Alligator mississippiensis: one gene and its partners. The protein of the gene in region 3 interacts with the protein of the main gene of each other region in a biochemical or structural test. Links are inferred from orthologs where the notes say so. Each region holds a gene or a part of one and is shown on either strand. Other genes may lie near its edges. The genes, in order: HTR2A, CYSLTR2 and MPDZ.

Region 1 (7,058 bases), on a different chromosome or scaffold from region 3:
GGGTAGTTCTCAGTTTGGCAGGAGGCTTTTCTGCAAGCTGTTTGCTGGTCATGGTGACAAGTGATCCAGTGCGTCATGCTGATGCTGCATTTCTCGGAAATTGTATGCCTGAATGACTGGTTTTTCAAATGCATTTAGCCTGAGAGGAGATCTTTCCTCTGGCAACAGACATCACAGTGCAAAGTTAAAAAGAGAGAAAAATCATTTGATCACAGAAATACTGCAATTAAAATTAATGGTCACAATCAAACGTGGGTTTCCAAGCAGAGGCAAAAATTAGCTTTCTCAGTGGCAGGGAGTGGCCAGCAGGAGTCCCTGTTGATCACCTCAGTGAATCATTCAGAGCTTGAGTCTTTCACTTATATCTCAGATCAAGCAATTAGTGCCCCTACAGCTTTATTTTGCATTGTCTTCCCTACCATCAAAGGTAATCTTTATTGAACACTTATATGAATCCCTATTTGCTAATGCCATCCAGGATACTTTGTGTAAAAATAGCAAAATTGAAAGAGGGAAATTGGGAAATAAATTCTTATATTGCAGTTTTCCAAATGAAATCTCCCTCAAGTTGTTGTGAAGTGGTTGGTACTTTAAAACTGTAACACTCAATCTAGCATAAAAGCTATTTAAATCTTTCAAATTAGATCCCCCCTTCCCCCATTTCTTTTTCTTTTCTCTCCTGTATTGTGATACTGGGTATTTTTTTTATAAATTTGAAGATGAAACCAGCATGGAAAATGTCTATATTTAACCCTTAAGTTTTCTGCTTTTCCTCGGTGATCCAGACTGCTAAAGATTTTGGTTCAAATGCCAAGAAATTTGCTCATCACCTGTAAACAGCATCACAGTTAACCATGCTTCTTAGTTCACTTTACACTTTCACATAATAGCTGTTTAGAAAAGGTAGGGAATATTAATTTATTCAATTTCAAATGTTACTAAACACTGGTCATGAATAACTCCTGTCTACATTTTAGGCTCCCTTGAAAATACTTCTTCCAAGATTTAATGGTAAATAATATAAATAAAGATCGTAGTGTAAAGATGGTTATTTGAAACTGAAATTAATTACCAGTAAATTAATTACCAGTAAAAATATGAGGCAGGTTATTTTAACTCTAAGTGCACCAAGGCATTGATTTGCCTGTGCATATTTGTGGAGCAAAAGTATTAACAGGATATTACTTACTTATTAGGAAAACTGAAAAGTATATGTATATGAGACAAAAGTATATGAGGCAAAACTGAGAATACTGAGAACACAGCATTTTCATAGAAAACAAGATAATCCCCTCAGAATCAAAGTGGTAATTTGATTTTTGGACTGTATTTAAAACATCTATAATTGGAAGTTAAAAGGAAATGAGCTCATAGGTACTGATTCTTCTCTTTACTATATTTAACAATTATAGCATTATAGGGAGGGAGATAGCAAGCTTATATCTTAAAAGCTAGATTGCATTTATATTTTACTTGAATCCTCAAACTGTAACAATAATAACATGTGTTTGCTGTTATTAGGCTACCCAATATATGCAGTAGGTTACACAGGTGATACTCACCGTACAGTATGGTTAACATTGACACAGGCATGACAAGGAAACCCAACAGCATATCAGCTATTGCGAGTGACATTAGAAAATAATTAGTGGCATTCTGTAGCTTTTTCTCCAGTGACACAGCCATGATGACAAGAATATTCCCAGCAATGGTTAGAACAATCACAATAACTGTCAACAAAGCTGGCCAATTTTTCTCTGGAAGCTGAATCCATGATGAAAAGCAGGGTGGGCTCGGACTGCCTTCACACGAAAGATTAGTTAGGTTTTCAGAGTCCACAGTTAAGTTAAACAGATGAGATGTGTTAACCTCTCCAGATACAAAAACATTTTTGTAAAGTCTTCTCTCATGATTTAATTGTATTAAGGAGTTTGTAGTTGGGTTCACAGAACTCTCCTCATCACAAAGAATATCCATTGCTGAAACTGGTGAGTATGTATAGTAAAAAGCTGAAAGCATAAATTTTTGTCACCATCAGGCTTTATATTCCTTTGTTGTCCAAAGCTGAAGCTGGTGTAAAGGAAGGATTATTTTTTGATAATTACTTTTTCTTTATTATCCGGATGGAATTATTCTGAACGCTGAAATACTTTCTTTTCGGCTCCCTGTGAAGTCCCTTATTAGCATATGTTAAAAATCCAGTTGAAAAACAAAATCAATATGGAGAATAGAAAATGTGGACTTGAGGTTTTGGAGAGCAAAAACAATGGGCAAAAAACTTTTGCAACCATCAGGACTCTCTTCTGTAGCTACATCTTATTGCTCTTCATAACTGTAATCACACAATTTTAAATGCAGCAGTATTAAAATAGCTTGCTATACAAAACAGCAGAGCTCTGTTCCACAATGAGAAAGTTGATTAAAGATTCCACCCAGCATCTAACTCTTACAATAATAAGATATGCTCTTATTTATAGTTCATCTTCCATATTACTGGCTGATAGTCTCTGACTTCTGTCATATTTCAATATCATTCTGAGTCTCACACCAGTGATTACAAGTAATATTCCACATTGATTTTAATATCTAATAGTATCTTTTGGCTCAGCATGGCTTCAAAATAGAAATAAAATGACTAAATGCTACAATTAAAAATATAGTATAGGAAGACTTACATTGCTGAGAGCCCACATTCAAAGTTCCTTAGATCCACCTTGTACTCTGATTTGCCATATCCTTCTCTGAGTCCCTTCTCTCTAGTGGCCACAAAAACACTAGTATTTTGATTACAGTTACGTTGACTTCTAAACTGTACACTTGAGAGAAGCCAGTTCCTGTGTAGCCAGTCTTGTTCTTTTCTTCTGAGAGAGAGGCTGCTTGCTGTATCTTTCCTTGTGCATTTTCCCCCCCAAGGGCAAGCTACATGGAGAGTAATAACAATATCAGACCCCCCCTCAAAGTGATACAAAAGAAAGCACACGAACTAGAAGGAGCAGTCTCCAGAAAGAGATTACTGATTTCAACAGGAATGTAATTTCTTGCTCACTGCCTTGTTCAGTTTGTCAGACCTCCCACTATCTAGATGTCATAAACTGCAAGGTAGCAACAGCAAAGGAGGACAGACCAAATAGGGTCTTTTTTTGGTAACTGCCAGTTTTTTCATTTGATCATTTTTGAGGTCTTAGTTTTGTTTAAGAAAATGCACATTTTCCCTTTGCAAAGGATGCCCTTCAAGCCAGCTGTGTACAATTATAATATCTTGTGGGGTGAATGTTTGAGGAAGACAATAAATAAAGATAGTAATGGTACATGCTGGTAAAACTGTAAATGTGCAGCTTTTTCCATCCTAAAGGTTGCAGCTTTTATGCTAACCCTAAACTGAATTACTCATGTTCAGTCCTCCCTTATCTGATTCCTGGGTGTGTGCTGATGACCTAACCAAACTGCCAACAGATATTTATAAAAAATAAAAAGTAATCATAATTTAATTATTTGTCAGGAAGTGGAAGGTACAAATAAACCCTGATAACCTATTTGGAAGAAAAGTGCCCCAAATGAAGTAGGCAGACAAGGTTTCTTGGGTGAATTTGATATCTTTTATTAGACCAACCCAAATAGTTGGAGAATAGTTATTAAGCAAGCTTTCGGGTTCAAAAACCCTTCGTCAGGCTAAGGAAGTTTCAGCAGTTGGTGTGTGCTCTTCCTGGATGGAATGAAAAGTAAAGAAGCCAGAGGCTGGGCTGGGGAGTCAGTTGCCAGGCTGATTATAATGTGTCAAAAATCCAATGTCTATATTTAGTCCACGATCTCTAGTATCCAGGAGGTTGATGAAATGGAGTTCACAGACCACCTTCCCAGCAACACACTCGTAGCCACCATGGACGTTACCATCCTATATACCAACATCCCACACCAGGATGGCATCCAAGCCTGCCTTACATATCTACAGGAACAAGATTACAACACAGATTACAGACCCAAAGATATTACTGACCTTATACACTTCATCCTCACACACAACAATTTCACTTTTAATAACCAACACTTCCTCCAGATGATGGGAACAGCTATAGGCACTAAAATGGCCCCACAGTATGCAAACCTTTTTATGAGCCACCTGGAAGAAGACTTCCTCAAGAACTACACCATCAAACCCTTGCTATACTTAAGATATATCAATGACATCTTCATCATTTGAACTGAAAACCTACAATCTCTGATTGAGTTCCATCAGAAATTCAACAATCACCATCCCTCCATCCGACTTTCTCTAGAATACTCCAGCACCAGCATCTCCTTTTTAGACACGATGATCAATATCCAGAATGATAAAATACAAACCACATTATACAAGAAACCCACAGACCAACATACATATCTGCACAGAACCAGCAATCACCCTAAACGCACCAAAAAAGCTGTGATATACAGCCAAGCCCTCAGATACCACCGCATTTGTACTGAAGAGAACACCTGGGATTGCCACCTCACCAATCTTAAAAAGGCTTTCACCCAACAAGGACACTCCTCCAGAGAGGTAGATCGCATGTTTGAAACAGCCACCTAGATACCACATGAAGAACTGCTGCAGTACAGAAGAAAAACACCCACAAATTGCACACCGCTGGTTATGACATATCACCCCTCCCTTGAACCTGCACGAAAAATCCTCAAACAACTGCAACCCATACTAGAAAGAGACCCTATTCTTAAAAAGATCTTCCCAGAGCCACCCATCCTAGCCTTCAAACAAGCACCGAACCTCACCAACCTCATCACCAGAAGCAAACTTCCTTAAGCCCAGAACACACCAAAAGGATCCAGACCGTGCCATGACAAGAAATGCAAAACCTGCCAACACATCTCCACCACCCCCACTATTACTACACCCCACAACAGAGCCAGCAGCATTCCTGGATCTTACAGCTGCACCTCCAGAAATGTAATATACCTCATCCAATGCACCAAATGCCCTGATGGAAAATACGTAGGAGAGACCAAACAACAACTGCACGCCAGAATGAACGCACACCGGAAATCTATCAAAGACAGAAATACCCAATTACCGGTGGGGGCACATTTCTCACAGGAGGGCCACTATCTCTCCAGTCTCTCAGTCCTGATCCTCAAGGGAAACTTACACAACACTCCCCAGAGACGAGCCTATGAGCTCCATTTCATCAACCTCCTGGATACTAGAGATCATGGACTAAATATAGACATTGGATTTTTGACACATTATAATCTGCCTGGCAACTGACTCCCCAGCCCAGCCTCTGGCTTCTTTACTTTTCATTCTATCCAGGAAGAGCACACACCAACTGCTGAAACTTCCTTAGCCTGACGAAGGGTTTTTGAACCTGAAAGCTTGCTTAATAACTATTCTCTAACCATTTGGGTTGGTCTAATAAAAGATATCAAATTCACCCAAGGAACCATGTCTGCCTATGTCCTTAGACCAACACAGCTACAACCTACACCACTGCCAAATGAAGTAGTACAGTCATGTAAAGTGTTCTGGGATAAATAGTGGAATTAAACCCCCTTCCGTGATTTTTCCTATTCCTTTGTAATATCTGTGCCATGACACTTATGGGAGACTAGTTGACTATTCTTTTCCACATTGTAGTAGGGTTGGAGTGTTGTTGTACAACCCTGTGTTGGAAATCTTGTCCAACATCCTTCCCAGCTATACGCTTGGTCCCGTAAAAGATATCACAAAAAACCCTTGCCTCTAGTACATTTCCTAAACCATCACAGGTACAACAATACAGAATGAATAATTACAGAAAAAAGGAAAACACTTTTCATGGAACAACCACTCTGTTTCTGACCTCACAGTCCTTTTAGTCAAGGGAAATCTGAAAAACACCTTCAAAAGACAGACGTGGGAGCCAACATTTATAACATTCATAACACTAAAAATCATAGATTAAGCCCAAAAAATGTCTTTCTGACTCACTACACTCTACCTGCTATCTCTGCTAAAATCTCTGCACTCCACAGGTAATAATAACCCTTTTCTCTTCTGAATAGTCCTGTTCTACGTAAGTTGGCGTTCGTTTGAACTATATTCCCCTTGTTTTGAAGCTATTTCTGATAGCCTCTCTCTGTTCCTACTTTTCAGTCATCTTCCATTCCTTTAAGTGACTGTTTTAATTCACAAAACACAACCCCCAACCCCAGCCCACACTGGTGGATAGCATACTTTCCTGGGAGTTGTGGCTTTGAACTCCTGGGACACATCCAGATGAGTGCCCACGTCCAGTTTGCAGCACCTCAAAAGTAGTTTGAGGCACCACAAACTACATGCAGTGCACATGCACCCATTCGCTACACTGCTAATTTGTAGCGTGGCTGTTTTTTTGATACCAGGAGATCCCTGAGGCTAAGAAGGGCCTAAACAGTAGGTCCTCCATTTTCTGAGCAACTGTTTTAGCTAGTAGTTGTTGATAGACATGGACACTGGCATCACTCCCTCCTCAAGCCGTGCATAAGAGTGGCAAGGCCTATTGTGCTCTTTGCTGAACTTAACCCTGCCAACATGCATTAGGTGTGTTCTGAGTGCACCTACTGGATCAGTACCTTGAGGAGACTTAGGACCAGAAATGGCTAGTTAATAAATCCCAAATGGATATAGGTATGAGACAGTGGCTGAGATACTCATCTTTGTCAAGGTGGCATCATTTAATGCAAGTAGCACAAATGTAGGTGCCTACTTAAGTTTACCAGTAAAAACATAGCTGCCTTTGCCCTTTCAGGCCACATCCAAATGAGCGTGGTTGTTTGTTTCCCCAGGGACAAGTAGCAGCAACACACCTTGTGAGCAAAAAATTACATTCCTGCTGGATTTAATAATCTCTTTCTAGAGACTGCTCCTTCTAGTTTGCGTGCTTTCTTTTGTATCACTTTGATTCTGATATTATTATTACTCACCATGTAGCTAGCCCTTCGGGGGGGATGCACGACGAAAGATACATTTTGTGCCACTGCTACTTGTCCCTGGGGAATGCCCATGCCATGGGCACTCTGGTGCATGGCAGGTTACCCTGGGTGAG
Region 2 (7,959 bases), on a different chromosome or scaffold from region 3:
GGAACGTTTTCCCTTTACAGGTTTGCTGATGCTGATTTTCCTATTTTTCTGAAATCCAACATGGTCCAAGGTGTTGTAAGAGAAATAATTTATTGTATTTTGCTAGGGTCAGAAGTCCTGGACTCTAAAAAAAAAAAAAAAAAGAATTAAAATCAGAGTTCTGCAACCTGTTATAAAGTTTGTGTCATGTATCTTTAAAAATATGAGTGAATTAAGCCTGTGTGGTAAGCATAAAAGCTAAGGGAACTGAGGTACAGTGAGGCTAGTACCTTGCTGAAAACCACCCAGCAAGATACTGAGAGCTGCGTATCACCAATAAGATCACAACAGAAAGGAGTAATAGGGAGATTCAAATATTGCCATGGAGAAATGTACCTTTTAACATTTTTAAAAGGGAAAGGGAAGTTGCTGCTTGGGAGTACACATTAGCTGTTGCGATCTAACTCAGAGGTGAAGCAAGGCAACTATGCGGCATGTGGGGTAGCATCAGGCTGCGCTGCCAGCACTGATAGCAGGGTGTGGACAGCCATCAGCTGATGCCCTGGTCACAACCCCTCAATTACATTACCAATCCAACAGTTTGGTAACCTTACATTACCAATCTACATGGTCCTATAATGATACAAGTTACCTAAATCTCTATAACTTTAACCCTGAATGACATGTATCACTACAGAATGATGCAGGCATAACAGCAACAGCAGTTTATATCAGTAGCATTTGATATCAGTAAAATTGTTATATCTGTCTATAGCTGAAGTGAAGATTCATCATAGAACCAACTGGGGAGGGGATACACACCAGGCCTACAGCACAATAGCTAATGCACTTCAGATTAGGTGATTTAGCTGAGACCAGCCACAAAATCTTCCTTGAATTATTGATCCCTCAAGAGTTCTCACAGGTGTTACGTTTATGGTGCATCCAGACAGCCATGGGTCCTGGGGCTATCCCCAGCTGATCCTTAGGAATCAGGTTGGGGCAGCTCCTGGTCCTAAACTAGAACCTGGGACTGCCTGTGCCTGCTTCTGACATTCAGCTGAGGATCAGGCAAGATCAGCCTGGGGGCAACCAGACTTAGATGAATTAAAATGTCTATAAAAAGTTATAGACACTTTGGAAAATTAATAATATGGGTCCTGATTCTGCTCCCTGTCACATCAGAGAGTGGTGGTGGATGGGTTGTTCTCGGCCTGGAAGGAGGTGGGCGGAGGGGTCCCACAGGGTTCGGTCCTTGGACCAGTGTTATTTAATATCTTCCCCAGCGATTTGGACGAGGTTGTGGAGAGTACCCTCTCCAAGTTCACAGATGATACCAAGTTATGGGGCAAAGTTAACACACCGGAGGGCAGGGAGCAGATACCGGCTGGCCTGGACAGATTGGATCAATGGGTGGAATGAAATAGGATGCAGTTCAACAAAGATAAATGTAAGATACTCTACCTAGGAAGGAGGAATCCCCAGCACACCTACAGGTTGGGGGATGACCTCCTCAGCAGCTCAGAGGCTGAGAGGGATCTTGGAGTCATAACTGACTCCAAGATGAACATGAGCTGGCAGTGTAACGAGGCCATCAACAAACTAGCGGAGAGTAGATTTAGGTTAGACGTTAGGAAGAATTTTTTTACAGTAAGGATGGCCAGAATCTGGAACGGGCTTCCAAGAGAGGTGGTACTATCACCTAACTTGGAGGTCTTCAACAGGAGGCTTGACAGTCACCTGGCTGGGGTCATCTGACCTCAGTCTTCTTTCCTGCCAGGGGCAAGGGGTTGGACACGATGATCCATTGTGGTCCCTTCTGACTCTATAATCTATGAATCAGACCCACACCAGTATAACATACTCTTTTATTTGTAACTTACATATGCCAGTGAAATGAGACCAGAATCTAACCTGGAACCATTAAATAATATTGAAAATTGCATGGCCAATCCCACTAAATACACACAAATCAGCCACAAAACAAAGATTACCTAGCAATCTATAACCTCAAGTCCTCAGTTAAGTAAAGAACTAGATCTTAAAGCAACCATCTACTAAAACAAGGTTAAGATTCCTTAGCCTGACAATGTAAAATATATTTCTGTTATATTTTAAGAGAAATAGATTATGACACAGCAGTATTTATATTGGATATGAAAAAAGCAAATTCTCTAGTCTGATTTTAAGAAATGCAGAACATTCACAATCCCAGCTACATTAAATGTACCTGCAAGTGCACAGAAATTCTGAAACACTGAACTCTCTATACCAATGAGGACTTGTCATAATACATCTTTTTAAATGATTTTCTTGATACAAAATACCTTCTCTGCTGTTTAAACCATATATTTTTCTCCAAACAGTTTTCTATGGGATTTCAAGTTTGCCATTAGACTAGCAATGTGTTATTATCTATGTTATATTACAGGCATCAGCTACTGCCCTTTCAGAAAGCCAGATGTACGGACATTGGACAAAAAATGAAGCTCTGATTCACTTTGTCCTGTGAATGTTATATTTCAGTTCAGGATGAGAATTGCCAAACAGTTACTTTCCTTTATTGTTGGTTTGGAATTAGCATTGATTTAAGCTGAACTGTGCAGAGACAGGACATTTTATTCACCCTCACGCACACCTTTTAATGAATTGGTAATTTTGTAAACAAAGATTCCAGTTGATACAATCCGTACTTTGCGCCTAGCAAGAAAATTAAATTCATTCACTCAGATTTTTGGTAAACTACCATTAGTTTATTATCTTTCATGTTTCAAAATATTTGTAATTATAGAAAACCACCTTGATGTCCTTTCTTAAGGAGAAAAGAACCTTATTTAATAAACACCTAATATTTCCAGCAGCTAGAAGACCTCTCGTAAGTAACAGGGGGGAAAGTAGGAGGGGCCTTAGTTACTGTTAATAATCTTTATCAACTTAAATACTGAACTAAAAAAAATTACAAACTTGTCCTACCTTAGTATGTGTAGCTTTCAGTTAATTCAGTACATTAGTTCCTTCTTCAGCTTTTGCTGTTCAAAACTGCCAGCCTGCTAGTGGAGGGGGGAAAAGAACCTACATCTATTTATATCACAACCACAGCCAATGAAAAGTAAAAGGAAGTCAGTATTTGTTAGCAGAAGTTTTATTTCTTCAGAAAGATATTTTCTTAGGTCAAGAAAAGGCATTTGCTCCCATACTACATATATCTCTTGTTCAAAAAAATATCAAAAAAGGCTCTGCAGCCACGTAATATATCTAGAAACTTTTTCTCAACTACTCTCATTTCTATCTATAGACTTCAATAATCAAACCAGTAAATTGTTGGAGTACCATAAAATAATTAAAAAATACTTTCCCTGGGAAAATATTCTATTTTCCCAGTGGGGTGCTGGGAAGAGATGGCCTCCACCTCAATCCACTGGGGAGGAGGCTCTTCTTAGCGAGACTGGCTGACCAACTCGACCGGGCTTTAAACTGAGCCCACCAGGGAAGGGGGGGATTACCACCACTGCAAGCCCACTGGGCAGTTTCTGTAAACCCAGCAGGCTAAGGCACTCAAGGGAACCCACCCCTACGGCAGCCCCAGAGCAATCTGTAGGAAAGGCAAGGACCCCCAATGGGACACTTATTTGCCTGTACACCAATGCCAGGAGCCTGGGGAACAAACAGGAGGAACTGGTCCTCCTGCTAAACCAAAAGGATTACAATCTCATAGGGATAACGGAGACCTGGTGGGACTCCACCTATGACTGGGCCACAGGCATAGATAGCTATACCTTGTACAGGAGAGATCATGCGGACAAAAGGGGCGGTGGAGTAGCTCTTTATGTCAAGGAAAGATATGCATCCCTGAAAGCTGACATTAGCACCCAGGAGGGAAGATTGGAGACTCTCTGTGTCAAAATGGGTGGCGAAAAAGGCATAGGGGTCACAATGGTGGGGGTCTACTACAGATCTCTTAGCCAGGATCAAGAGCTTGACCAGGAATTCGCCAGGGAACTAGCTAAGGCTTCACACTCCCAGTGCATGGTTGTCATGGGAGATTTCAAATACCCTGACATCTTGTGGGAAGAGCACTCGGCCAAATCCGAATGGTCACAAAGCTTCCTCATGTGCATGGATGAGCTCTATCTGACTCAAGAAGTCTATGGACTGATGAGAGGCAGAGCTCTGCTCAACCTGGTACTGGCAACAGGGATGACTTAATCAGTGACCTAATGATCGAAGGGAAGCTGGGAGACAGTGATCATGAGTTGATCACCTTCACCATCTGCCTTAAAGCAGGCAAGCCAGTCAGCAAAGCAGAAGTCCTCGACTTCAGGAAAGCTGACTTTGACAAGCTCAGGAGGCTTGCTGGCGTGGCCCTAAGAGACCACGACCCAAAGTGAAGGGGAGTTCAGGAAGAGTGGTTGCTCCTCAAGGGAGCAATCCTGAAAGCACAAGCAATGTCTATCCCATCTAGGGGGAAAGGCAGCAAAAGGGCACAGCAGCCCCCCTGGGTCTGCAGGGAACTAGTGGACCTCCTGAGACTAAAAGGAAAGGCCTATTAAGGATGGAAGGCTGGATCCACCCCAAAGGAGGAGTACTCTGCACTGGTCTGGACCTGCAGGGAGCGAACCAGGAAAGCCAAGGCTGCAACTGAACTCCAACTGGCTACACGTATCAAGGACAATAAAAAGTCATTTTTTAGATATGTGGGGAGCCAGAGGAAAAGCAAAGGTAACATTGCACCCGAGCTAAACCATATTGGTCAACTGACAACTGACACCCAGGAAAAAGCCAACCTGCTCAATGGGTATTTTGTGTTGGTTTTTCACCAGCCCCAAGGGACGGCCTTGCTCAATATGGTATGGGACAGCCAGGGTGAGAGAGAGCTGTTACCCTTCATCAGTGTTGACCATGTGAAGGAACACCTTGAGAGGCTGGACACCTTCAAGTCAGCTGGCCCAGACAGCTTACACCCCAGGGTACGTAAGGAGCTGGCAGGCATCATAGCTCAGCCGCTGGCACGGATCTTTGAGAACTCGTGGTGTTCAGGCAAAGTGCCTGAAGATTAGAAGAAGTCCAATGTGGTGCCTATCTTCAAGAAAGGAAGGAAAGTAGATCCGGGGAACTACAGGTCCATCAGCCTGACCTCCATCCCCGGGAAGATCTTGGAGAAAATCATCAAAGAGAGCATTCTTGACTAACTGGCTGAAGGCAACTTCTTGTGGGATAGCCATCATGGGTTTGTTGCAGATAGGGCTTGCCTGACCAATCTCATCTCCTTCTACGACCAGGTGACATACCACCTGGACAAGGGAGAAGAGATTGACATTATATATCTTGAATTTAAAAAAGCTTTCAATCTGGTATCCTATAATCATCTTAGTAGTAGTTGGCAGAAGTCAATCATTGTGGTGCGCCATGACCAGTGGGGTCCCCCAAGGCTCTATCCTTGGGCCTATCCTTTTCAACATCTTCATTAATGATGTGGACATTGGTGTCGGAAAAGGACAGGATGGTGATCCAGGCTGGCCTTGACAGGCTTGGAAAATGGGTGGATGAAAACCTGATGGCCTTCAACTCTGAAAAATGCAAGGTACTCCACCTTGGGAAGAAAAACCTGCAGCATGCTTATAGGCTTGGCAGTACTATGCTCGCTAGCACCACGGTCGAAAGGGACTTGCGGGTCATGACTGACCACAAGATGAATATGAGCCACCAATGTGATGTTGCAGCCGGCAAAGCGAGCAAAACTCTGGCTTGCATCCATGGATGCTTCTCTAGCAAATCCCAAAATGTCATCCTCCCGCTGTACTCAGCCTTGGTGAGGCTGCAGCTGGAGTACTGTATCCAATTCTGGGCTCCAAAATTTAAAAAGGATGTGGAGAAGCTTGAGAGAGTCCAGAGGAGAGCCACACACATGATCAGAGGGCAGGAAAACAGGCCTTATGATGAGAGGTTGAGAGCCATGGGACTTTTCAGCTTGGAAAAGTGCAGGCTCAGGGGGAACTGGTGGCTGCCTATAAGTATATAAGGGGTGTACATCAGGATCTGGGGGAATGCCTGTTCACCAGAGCACCCCATGGGATGACAAGGTCAAATGGTCACAAACTTCTCCAAGACTGTTTCAGGCTGGACATAAGGAAGAACTTATTTACAGTCCGAGCCCCCAAGGCCTGGAACAGACTGCCACCAGAGATGGTGCAAGCATCTACTCTGGATTCCTTTAAGAGTCAACTGGACATTTATGTTGCTGGGATCCTGTGACCCCAGCTGACTTCCTGCCCCTGGGGTCGGGGACTGGACTTGATGATCTTCTGAGGTCCCTTCCAGCCCTAATGTCTATGAAATCTATGAAATGAAAAGAAAACATTAGGGTACATTTCCAAATCATTTCACCACTAATAGCATGTGGTCAACTTGCTGGAATTAGCAATGTTGGGAAACCAACCACATAGCCAACTGCAGAAGATGCATCAGGCACTTTGGCACCTAACTGCACACTGGTCCTTAGGAAATTAGATGCCCAGTTTCTACCATGTTTTAATTGGAGATAGATATCCATTTCTCTCAGACTCTTTGAAAAATCTCAGTCATAATCAACTAGTTTACCATTTTCTGTTGCCTTGATGGTAGCTCTCAGTTACACAATGGTTCCATAATATTGCTTTTCCAGATAAAAGGGTCTTAGAATGGGCAAAAATAATCTTCTGAGAACACTCCATAGGCTGGTGGCTCCCTGGGCATTGTACAGCTTGTGTCAAAACTGCTCACACACCCCATAAGAGGATGAGTTGAACAGTTGGTTTTGCAAGTCCTGTAACAGGGGCCCCTAACCTCTCTTACTCATTTGAGAAGGGTGGCATTACATAGCTGCAGAGCCACAGGCAGCAGCTCTAGAGGGCTGCAAGCCGCAGGTTGTAAACTGCAGGCCTCAAGAGCTGGGACCTGCAAGCTGCAGGCATCAAAGACAAGCCTAGTAACTACCTAAAAGGAGCCCCTGTCTCATATGTTTGCAGATGGCACCAAGCTAGGGGGAGTAATAGATATGCTGGAAGGTAGGGTTAGGATTCAGAGGGTGTATCTACAATTGTTGCTATGGCAATATTGTGACTGCACTGTGATTTAGTACTTCCAAAAGGAAGTACTAAATCACAGTGCAGTAACAGCTCATACTGAGTCATACGTGTGACGCGCATTTATTTTTAGCAGCTACTTCACTGTTGTGGTGCACTTTAGTGGGGGAGCGTGTTGCTATGCCAAAATAGCTGTTGGTCACATGTAAACACCCACGGATGCTAGGTCATGGTAGCGCATTGCTACAGCAATGTAGTATCACATGTAGACATGTCCAGAAAGACCTAGACAAATTGGAGGATTGGACCTAAAGAAATCTCATGAGGTTCAATAAAGACAAGTGCAAAGTCCTGCAATTGGGATTCAAAAAATCTCATGCACTGGTACAGGCTGGGGGCTGACTGGCTGAGCAGCAGCTCTGCGAAAACGGACCTGGGTTACAGTGGACAATAAACAGAATATGATCCAACAATGTTCCCTTGTTGCCAAGAAGGCTAACAGTATGCTGGGCTACATTAGCAGAAGCGTTGCCAGCAGATCAAGGAAAGTGATTATTCCCTTTCTATTCAGCACTGGTGAGGCCACATTTGGAGTACTGTGTTCAGTTTTGGGCACCCCACTACAAAAAGGATGTGGACAAATTGAAGAGTCCAGCAGAGGGCAATGCAAATGGTGAGGGGGCTGGGGCATGTGACTTCTGAGGACAGGCTGAGGGAACTGGGCTTATTTAGTCTAGAGAAGAGAAGACATGGAAAGGACTTAATACCAGCCTTCAAGTACCTGAAGAGGGGTTCAAAAAAGGGTGGAGCTGGACTGTTTTGAGTGGTGACAGATTACAGAACAAGAAGCAACAGTCTCAAGTTGCAGCAAGCGAAGTTTAGGTTAGATATTAGCAAAAACTTTGTCATTAGGAGGGCA
Region 3 (7,912 bases):
TCAAAAGTATGTGGTGCCAAAAGGAAAATAAAGGTTACCCATTAGCATTAAAGCAATACTGTTCTTGTTTCCCAGTCTTGATACTGATCTAATTGTTCTAGTGCAGATTTTCTTCCAGGAATAGAAGAACATATCTAGGTCCTGATGGAACATTTGCTGATAGTAGGCTGGAATTCATAAGAGGACATTCATAAAGGTCAGTGACATAAATAGCTCCATAAAAATGTTTCTCCATTAGTGAGATAAGGAAAATACTTCAAAGAAACACCAAAATAGTGAATCAGCTAGGAAAGAAAAAAAAAGCCATGAAGGCCACAGTAGGCAGCTAGAAAACATTCATGCCCATTGGTTCTAAGTAAAATTGAAATGCTGAAGAAAAGAAATTGCTCCCCAAACAGCTTTCTAGGCCATTTATAATTTATCTGGTATGGGCTAAATAAATGAGCATGTTCATTTTAAAATAATGATCTCAGACTGCTATTCTCTAGTACACTCCCATCTGATATGACAGCTCTCTCAATTATTTAATATCATCTTGTCCTAACAGTTGAAAAATATAATTTATATTTACACATAATCATTTTATAAGGTAATTTGCACCTCAATAAACTAAATATTCAGTTGTCTTTATTTTGTCAATATAATCATACAAGATTTTGCTCCCTTGAGTGACTGGCTAATAGTTTTCTGTATAAATTACTGAAATTTCCTAATCTGCCAATTAGGAGTAATTTGGGGCAAATCCTGTGTGTGAAATTGAGCCACACAATAACAAATACATTAATGATAGGTAATGAAAGTTCCTTATAATTTTTTTTAGCTATATTAAATACTCAATTCTGGGTTTATTTTCCTGTGTTATATCCATACCCATCCTTACTTTTTCTAATCCAAATCAAACAAGGTTTTAAAGAAACAATTCACATTTCGCATTTTTCACTTTTAGTTTTGATATTCTTTACTCCCAATGTGTCACCCATATGAAAGCAAGTGATACAATAATACTACTGTGGGCCTAGCTCTGTTCAGACATTGAATTGCTGATTGCAAAGGGAGCAGGACTGGATTCTTATGATTCCTGACTATGCTTAAGCAAAACTCCTATGTAAGAGTTTGCTTTTGTCTCTCTTTCATACTCCTCTCCATTTTGTTGAGATTTCTTGTAAAATAACATTTTCTTTTCAAAAGATTGTAGTAACCTAGTTACCTGCTGGTGATGATAGATAAAAATACAAAAGATGGATGAGATACTGTTTTTAAAACTAAAGGGGGAAAAAAGGCAAAAGACTGACCAACAAAATAATACATCCATATGGTTAAATGTAAACAATAGAGACCAAAATGTCACCTTTGTCTCCGAAGTTCCTATAATGTACTGCTATATGGTCATCTCCATTTACGAATGTCTTGCATGTGAAAACTTGTCTAACTCCATCCCAACTAGGTCCAGTAAAAGACATCACCCTAAGAAATACCTGCCTCTCAAATAATTCCTTGGACTATCATGGCTACATCATTCTAACCCTACCAAGTGTTTACAAGTGCACAGAAATAGACCTGAAGTGAGATCAAAAAATAAAATATCCCAGGTCATATTCTCTACTTCAGACACCTGCACCCAACTCCCTCTGGGCCAACCTTCCTCTCCAAAGGCATAATTTTGGCCTTGCTCATACTTCTCTGTATTCTCTGGAATCCGCTATGAAGCTATGTCTAAAGACTGTGTGTTGATTAAAAGGAGTTCATGCTTGCTGAGATAAGATCTGCAGAAAAACCTGGGGAAACTGCAAATGCAATGTCACCGGGACCTTCCAATCCCGCTTAGGAAAAAAAAAGTGGTTTCACATAAAACAGAAAAGGATGCAGCCAGTAGCTGCCACATCGCTGAACCCTGAAGTTTTCTGGACCCCCTTATAAACACTTTATACATGCCTGTGGCAAAAATGCTACGGGTTTGGGGCTGTTATTTGAAAGCCAAGGATGATAACTGGGGAAGGAGTTGGGTATGTTCAAAAAGCAAAGAGAGAGAGGGAGAGATGGTAATTTTCAGAAGGCAAAGAAGAGTGTGTCCCCCTCCTTGCTCTCTTCAGCAATGGTCGGGGCCGGTGTGTGTTCTCCCTTCAGCCATGATTGGGGGGCGAGGTGAACTGAGTATTTTCAGAAGGGAAAGAAGAGTGTGTCCCTACATCGGGGGGGGGGGTTGGGGTGTGCACGCTCCCTTCAGCCATGGGGGGGTGGAGGAAAAGAGAGCTGGGTATTTTCAGAAGGCCGACTGTGTCCCTCCATCATCCCTTCAACCATGATGTGGGGGCGGTGTGCTGTGTCCTTCCTTCAGCCATGCTCGGGTGGGGCGCCCCTCTTCATGCCCGTTTCGGACCGCAGCCCGGCCCAGCCCGCGGGGAGCCGGCCCCTCCCCGGGCTCAGCCGCCGGAGCCGGACGAAGAAGAGGAGGATGCGGCTGCTCCTCCTCAGCCGCATCCTTCGCTCCTGCCCGGCCTGGCACCCCAGTCTCCGCGCGTGCAACACGTCCCTCGGCCCCTACCCCGCCCGGGGCACTTGAATGCCTACCCACCCGGCCCCGCTTGCAAAAATACGCGTCCAGAGAGCGAGGCAAGGCCCAGCCCCCCACGGCCGACGGGGGGGGCGCCAAGACCCGCCGGCAAGGGACAGGGAGATGGGGGCGATGCCGGCAGTAGCGCGGGTGTTTCCCGGCTGCAGCCCCCTCCCCCAGTAAACAAGGCTGCGCAGCTCCTTTCCCGCGGCCCGGGGGTGCACCCAACTCCGCACGCAACAGGCTGCCCACCCCCGCTCCGGCCGCAATACAAACAACTGGGGGAAGGGCGCCTACTATTGCATTCCATTATCCCCTCTGTAGAAGCCCCCGCGCTGCAACGAGCGCCCCGCGCGCCCCGCTTACCCCGCTCGCCGCTGCAGCGGCCTCAGGGAGGGTCGGAGCTTGCAGGGGTGGGGGGTGGCTTGTAGACCTCGCTTCCTGGCTTGGCTGCCCACCCCCCTTCCCTTCTCTAACGGAGCTGCAGGATAAGCGCCCGCACATACGCAGGCAGGCTACCATGAAACTTAATCCTGCCCAGCCATGGAGCGGCTAGACGCCCAGCCCCCCCCCCGCCCAGTCTTCCTCCCCTTCCCTCCCGAGCCGAGCCGAGCCGAGCCCAGGGAGCTGGCTGGAAGAGGAGGAACCATGACAACAGCAGGCAGCAACAGGAGGGGCCCGCATGCTGCCCTAGGAAGAAGCTTGCAGAGAGCCCTGGGCTGGCCCTTTGCAAACCTTGGGGCATAAACACCCTTCGTCAGGCATAGGGAAGGGTGCTTGTGCCCAAAAGCTTGCAAAGAACAATTGTTTTCCAGCGATTTATTGTAGTTGCCCTAATAAAAGAGATCACATCTACCCAAAGAGCCTGGTTTGCCTGTGTCCTTAAACCAACACAGCTAAAACCAACACCCTAGCTCAGGGAAGGGGCGTGGGTGCTGTGCTCCTCTCTGTCTCTTTTGCTCTCTCTCTCCAGGGCAGGAGATGGAGCTGGATAAGACTCAGCACCCCACATCTTCTTTGAAACTGCCTGCCAAAGACTGCTTCCTCCTCCTGTTTTTCTATACCACCACCGCCCCCTTGGAAAATGCTGAAACTAAAGGCTGGGAAGCACTGCAGTGACACACACAAAACTGCCTCCAGCTGCACAAACAAGCAATGTAGGGGCAAAAAACCCAGTGAAGAGTTTTGTGATCACTATGGCCAGGTAGTGGTGTGCTACTTTCTCAGAGATCTGTCTGAAAGGACCTGCCATCTAATGAAGGCTTTATAATTTTCCTTTTTTTTTTTTAAGCAGCTCTTCAGATTTTAGGTACAACATTACTTTCCCCTCTGTCCTGCCTGTGCTAACTGCAATCTAAAGAAGTATTTATATTTTTCCTTTTTTAAAAATACATTTCTTTAGATTTCAGGTACAACAGATGACCCCCCCCCCCCCCCTTTGCCAACTGCAATCGAGTGAAGTATTTTTTTTCTCCATTTTTAAGGCAGTTATTTAGATTTCAGGTACAACACATGACCTCCCCACTCCTTCACCAATTAGTGTGGTTTTCCAATTAGTCTGGTTTTGCAGCCACCATTTAACAAGTACAGGGGTTTAGTGCATGCACACACGCACACACACCCAGGGCCATTATAGCTGTCTAAAGCATGTGCCATCAAATCTATAAAATCTAATTTTGTATTTCTAACATGTATCTGTAAACAAATACGGGGGAAAATCAGACTCATACAACTTTTATTGCATGGTGTCCCTTTAAATATCTCAAATGATGGTGTCCGCTGTTTCCGTTGAAAACTTGTTCCACACCTGATACATTATGCCATTAATAAGTTTATTTGGGTTTCTTTTACAAAATTAAGCCAAGCTACATTAACTGAAGAATGTAAGAATGCCTCTTCCCCCTCTGCCCCCACCCCGCAATTAGTTGTAAACCCAGTGGTCTTTTTATTTTTACTGTTTTCCCTTCTAATAGTAGCTGAATATATATATATATATATATATATATTCCTCAGAAGTAAAATAGAACAGTTAGCAAAGTAATCTGTTAGGGAGGTGGGAAGAAGAAATATTTCTTTTTAAAGTATAATGGAAACATGTATCTTGCTGTTTGGTATGAGAAGTGGGTATTTTATCTAAGGCTTGAAGTTAGAAGATAAAGAGGGGCAAACCTTTGGATATTTTAAACTAAAAACATGTTTATTTTTTAAAAGTTGTGCATGAGGTTAAACATAAGGTGCCTTTTCCTTAATTTGTTTTAAAGTTTTTGTTAGAATTTTAAATAATTTCAGAAACTAAACAATGTATAAAGAATAATTCTCTATGCCCTTTACAAATATACAAACGTCCAAATAATTTTAAAAAATGATAGTGATGACAACAAAATTTATTTTCAATGTAAGAAGGTCCCACTGTTTTGTTGTTTGCTTTTTCCTTGTATATGTTAAAGGCTTTGATTTCTATTTCGTGAACACTTTTCATCTAGCAAATGACACTGGAGTTGGTATCTTATCTCAGTTTCTCACCAGGAAATTGCCCCTTGTTCCATGTTTACTCAAGGCAGCCCAGTTGTGATAGCATCCTCAGTACCAGAAAGAAGTACATCATCCCTGTGTCTGCTAGAGCCTGGTACTTGTTGTTAATTTGCTTGGAGTGTTTTTGTTTTGATTTGATTTATCAAAATTTAACTGAATTATAAACACTACCATAAACATACTGAAAGGTACATAATCATAATATACATACATATGTAGCAGGTTTACCTTTCAGAGCTTGGGTTGAGGCCAAGGCTTGAGATCCTGCTGTTTTGATTGGTGGAGCCCATCCACCCATCAGGAGGAAGCAAGAGAAATAAAGTCACTCCCCTTTCCTGAAGGGAGGGGGAGAAGAGCTTTTCCAGACCTGATTGAACACTGCAAACTGTCAGGTCTGGAAGACTACATGGGTGGAGCTCTGGAGCGTATAAAGGCTACATGCCCAGTGAGGGAGATGTGTCAGGAACAGAGAAGAGTGGGGCTTAGAAGAGCTGAGGAAAGCTGCTCAGCAAGGCGAAGCAGTAGCCCAGAAGTGTAGTAAAAAGACGTTAACCTCCATAATTTTGCAGTAATGCTTGAGCAACAACCATATGATAGAAGTGTCTTATGACCATCTTATGACCCTTTTGTGTAAAGATCAGGAGGTCTAATGTCCAAGCTGTGGTTCTTACTGCTTGCCTTGCATTTTGAAATCATCTCTGTCCAGTGCCTTAAGGTTACGTTAAGATAAGAAGTTACTAAAGTTTAACTAACTTTGTTGAAATTGCTCTTTTCTTCTGAGCATGCTGCAATTCTACCTTTGACTGCGCACGTACTAACCCTGATAAGTCACATTAACCAATAACTAGTTAAGTACAGCCTACAAGATAAGACGTCACAATTAGGAACTGGTACTGCAGCCAATAAACTTCTAGTACATCAAGACTCTGTTGAATGTAAGCTATAAAAATGTGATTCCAGGCCGGACTCATCGTCGGCCCTGATTTGAGCTCTCTGCTCCTCGGTCGAACTGTTTGCAAACAATAAACCTAGATGGACCCAGCCTGTATGTGTGACTCTTTCCTTGAGGGTAATTGAACAAGCCTCCAGGGGAACGAAACTAGCCGTTTTGGCAACAGAAGTGCCCCTGAAGACTTCCATCAGCGGGGAGCAGTGGACGGCTCCAGCGGTTAGGCTCTCAGTATGCAGCACGGCATCCAGACCCTAGGAGCTGCGTGAGATGGCTCGGGTCTGCAACCTCTGGCATGCAGCCAGAGACACAGTGCACAAGCCAGTGCGCGGAGCAGGATCTTTGGAGCCCCTTGGGCAGCTCAGATCCACAACACTCAGCACAAGGCTGGGAGCTCAGTGTAGGAGGCTCTGCACAGAGAGTGAGAGACACCAGGAGCTGCTCAAGGTGGCTCGGGACAGCAATTTGGTGCATAAGACACTGCCCAGAGGGTCTGGGAGTAGACCAAGCCCTGGTGCTGCACAAGGCTGTCTAGGCCTCCAACACCTAGGACAAGGTGAAGCACCCACTACACGCAACCGTGTATGTAGCCCTAAGCCAGGCCGGCAACAGCATGGTCAGGTGGCAGGAAAGCTCAGCGGGAAACAGAGCTCAACCTGGAGAACAGGAGGCAACCCTCCAGGACTGTGGAGTACTAAGTTATCCTGGAGAAAGGGTCCCCACAGAGGAGGGATCCCCAGAATTGTGAAGGGGCACCACATGGGCCGCTCCTGGGGGATAGTGGGGAAGTTTAGGAGTCTATGGGGGTCTCCCTCTCCTTTTCTTTGTCCCCATCTCCTTTCCTATAGTGGTACCTTGGGAGTGGGGCCCCTGCCCTGGTAGTCTAAGGATTGCTGGTTATATTTGTAGACTGTGCCTTATAGTATATGTGAATAAATTGAAGCAATAGTTTGTATATTAATAATAATAATATGTAATATAAGGTTGCCTGATCAGTATCCTTTGTTCTGGATTGTTCTATTGTTCATCTGTATTTTTAAATAATTGGTTGTGTGTATGTCCTTACCCTTTAATGATTTTGTTCAAATAATAAATGTGTATATAGTTAAGTAATTGATTGACTGGGCCTGATTCTATAGGGGATGGAAGTGGCTGATGGGCTGTTGTGTCCCTCCACAGCACACTGCCCTGCCAATAATTCCCTCAACTGGAGAGGGGAGTACAAACCCACGTACACCCAGGCTACACGTACATAACTTCATTTCAGACAGAGTAAAAAATGTGTTTTAGATAAATGGAATGGTACTGCATTCCAAATAATAGACAGCAAACTCAGGCAGCCATGTTACTGAACTCGGGAACCAATAAAATCTGAAAGTTTCTCTGCATTGCATCTCTTATATGAAAAAAAATATTAAAAAACAGTTTTCTATCCAGAGCCTTATTTAACTGCCTGTTGGAGACTTTCTTTTTTACCTTACATAGATGTTTTGACAAGCTAGATATTCTAAAAACTTCTTAAAAGAATTCCAGATGATTAGTTAAGCAGGTCCTTTACTACTTGAATTGACATCCACTAAGCTTGCTCATGTTCCTTTTTAGGTATTCTTCAGCCTTACACTTTAAAAGTGGTCAAGGTGTTCTGCCTAATACCACCTAAATGTTGTAGTCCATCATGTTCTGATTTATCTTCTGAACCCTTTTATCAACTAACATGTTTTCATCTGTCACAGGACTATGATAATAAGGTACTATTATCATTATTATCACTATTGGGCTCCAGTATATTTCTTCACAGTTTTAAGTGTCACAGTTTGCATATGCTTCTTTTATTTGTGCCAGATGTAAACTTAAAAAGCAAAGTACAGCTGATTTGCCTG

Evidence for each region.
Region 1: the proteins of MPDZ (region 3) and HTR2A form a complex in vitro, tested with the Homo sapiens proteins (2 studies listed by IntAct, with this or other methods). The link is inferred for Alligator mississippiensis from reciprocal best matches to the Homo sapiens genes MPDZ and HTR2A.
Region 2: the proteins of MPDZ (region 3) and CYSLTR2 interact in a test that uses a peptide from one of them, tested with the Homo sapiens proteins (2 studies listed by IntAct, with this or other methods). The link is inferred for Alligator mississippiensis from reciprocal best matches to the Homo sapiens genes MPDZ and CYSLTR2.

Annotation. Positions count from the first base shown.
Region 1 is NC_081824.1:412,486,528-412,493,585, forward strand, and holds the start of HTR2A (5-hydroxytryptamine receptor 2A), read right to left. Parts: upstream 3,059-7,058; 5' UTR 2,676-3,058; exon of another isoform or gene 2,333-2,675; 5' UTR 2,020-2,332; coding exon 1,563-2,019; intron 1-1,562. UniProt on the Homo sapiens protein: G-protein coupled receptor for 5-hydroxytryptamine (serotonin).
Region 2 is NC_081824.1:413,727,613-413,735,571, reverse strand, and holds the start of CYSLTR2 (cysteinyl leukotriene receptor 2), read right to left. Parts: upstream 3,095-7,959; 5' UTR 2,953-3,094; intron 125-2,952; 5' UTR 1-124. UniProt on the Homo sapiens protein: Receptor for cysteinyl leukotrienes. The response is mediated via a G-protein that activates a phosphatidylinositol-calcium second messenger system.
Region 3 is NC_081826.1:183,139,804-183,147,715, reverse strand, and holds the start of MPDZ (multiple PDZ domain protein), read right to left. Parts: upstream 3,076-7,912; 5' UTR 2,918-3,075; intron 1-2,917. UniProt on the Homo sapiens protein: Member of the NMDAR signaling complex that may play a role in control of AMPAR potentiation and synaptic plasticity in excitatory synapses. Promotes clustering of HT2RC at the cell surface.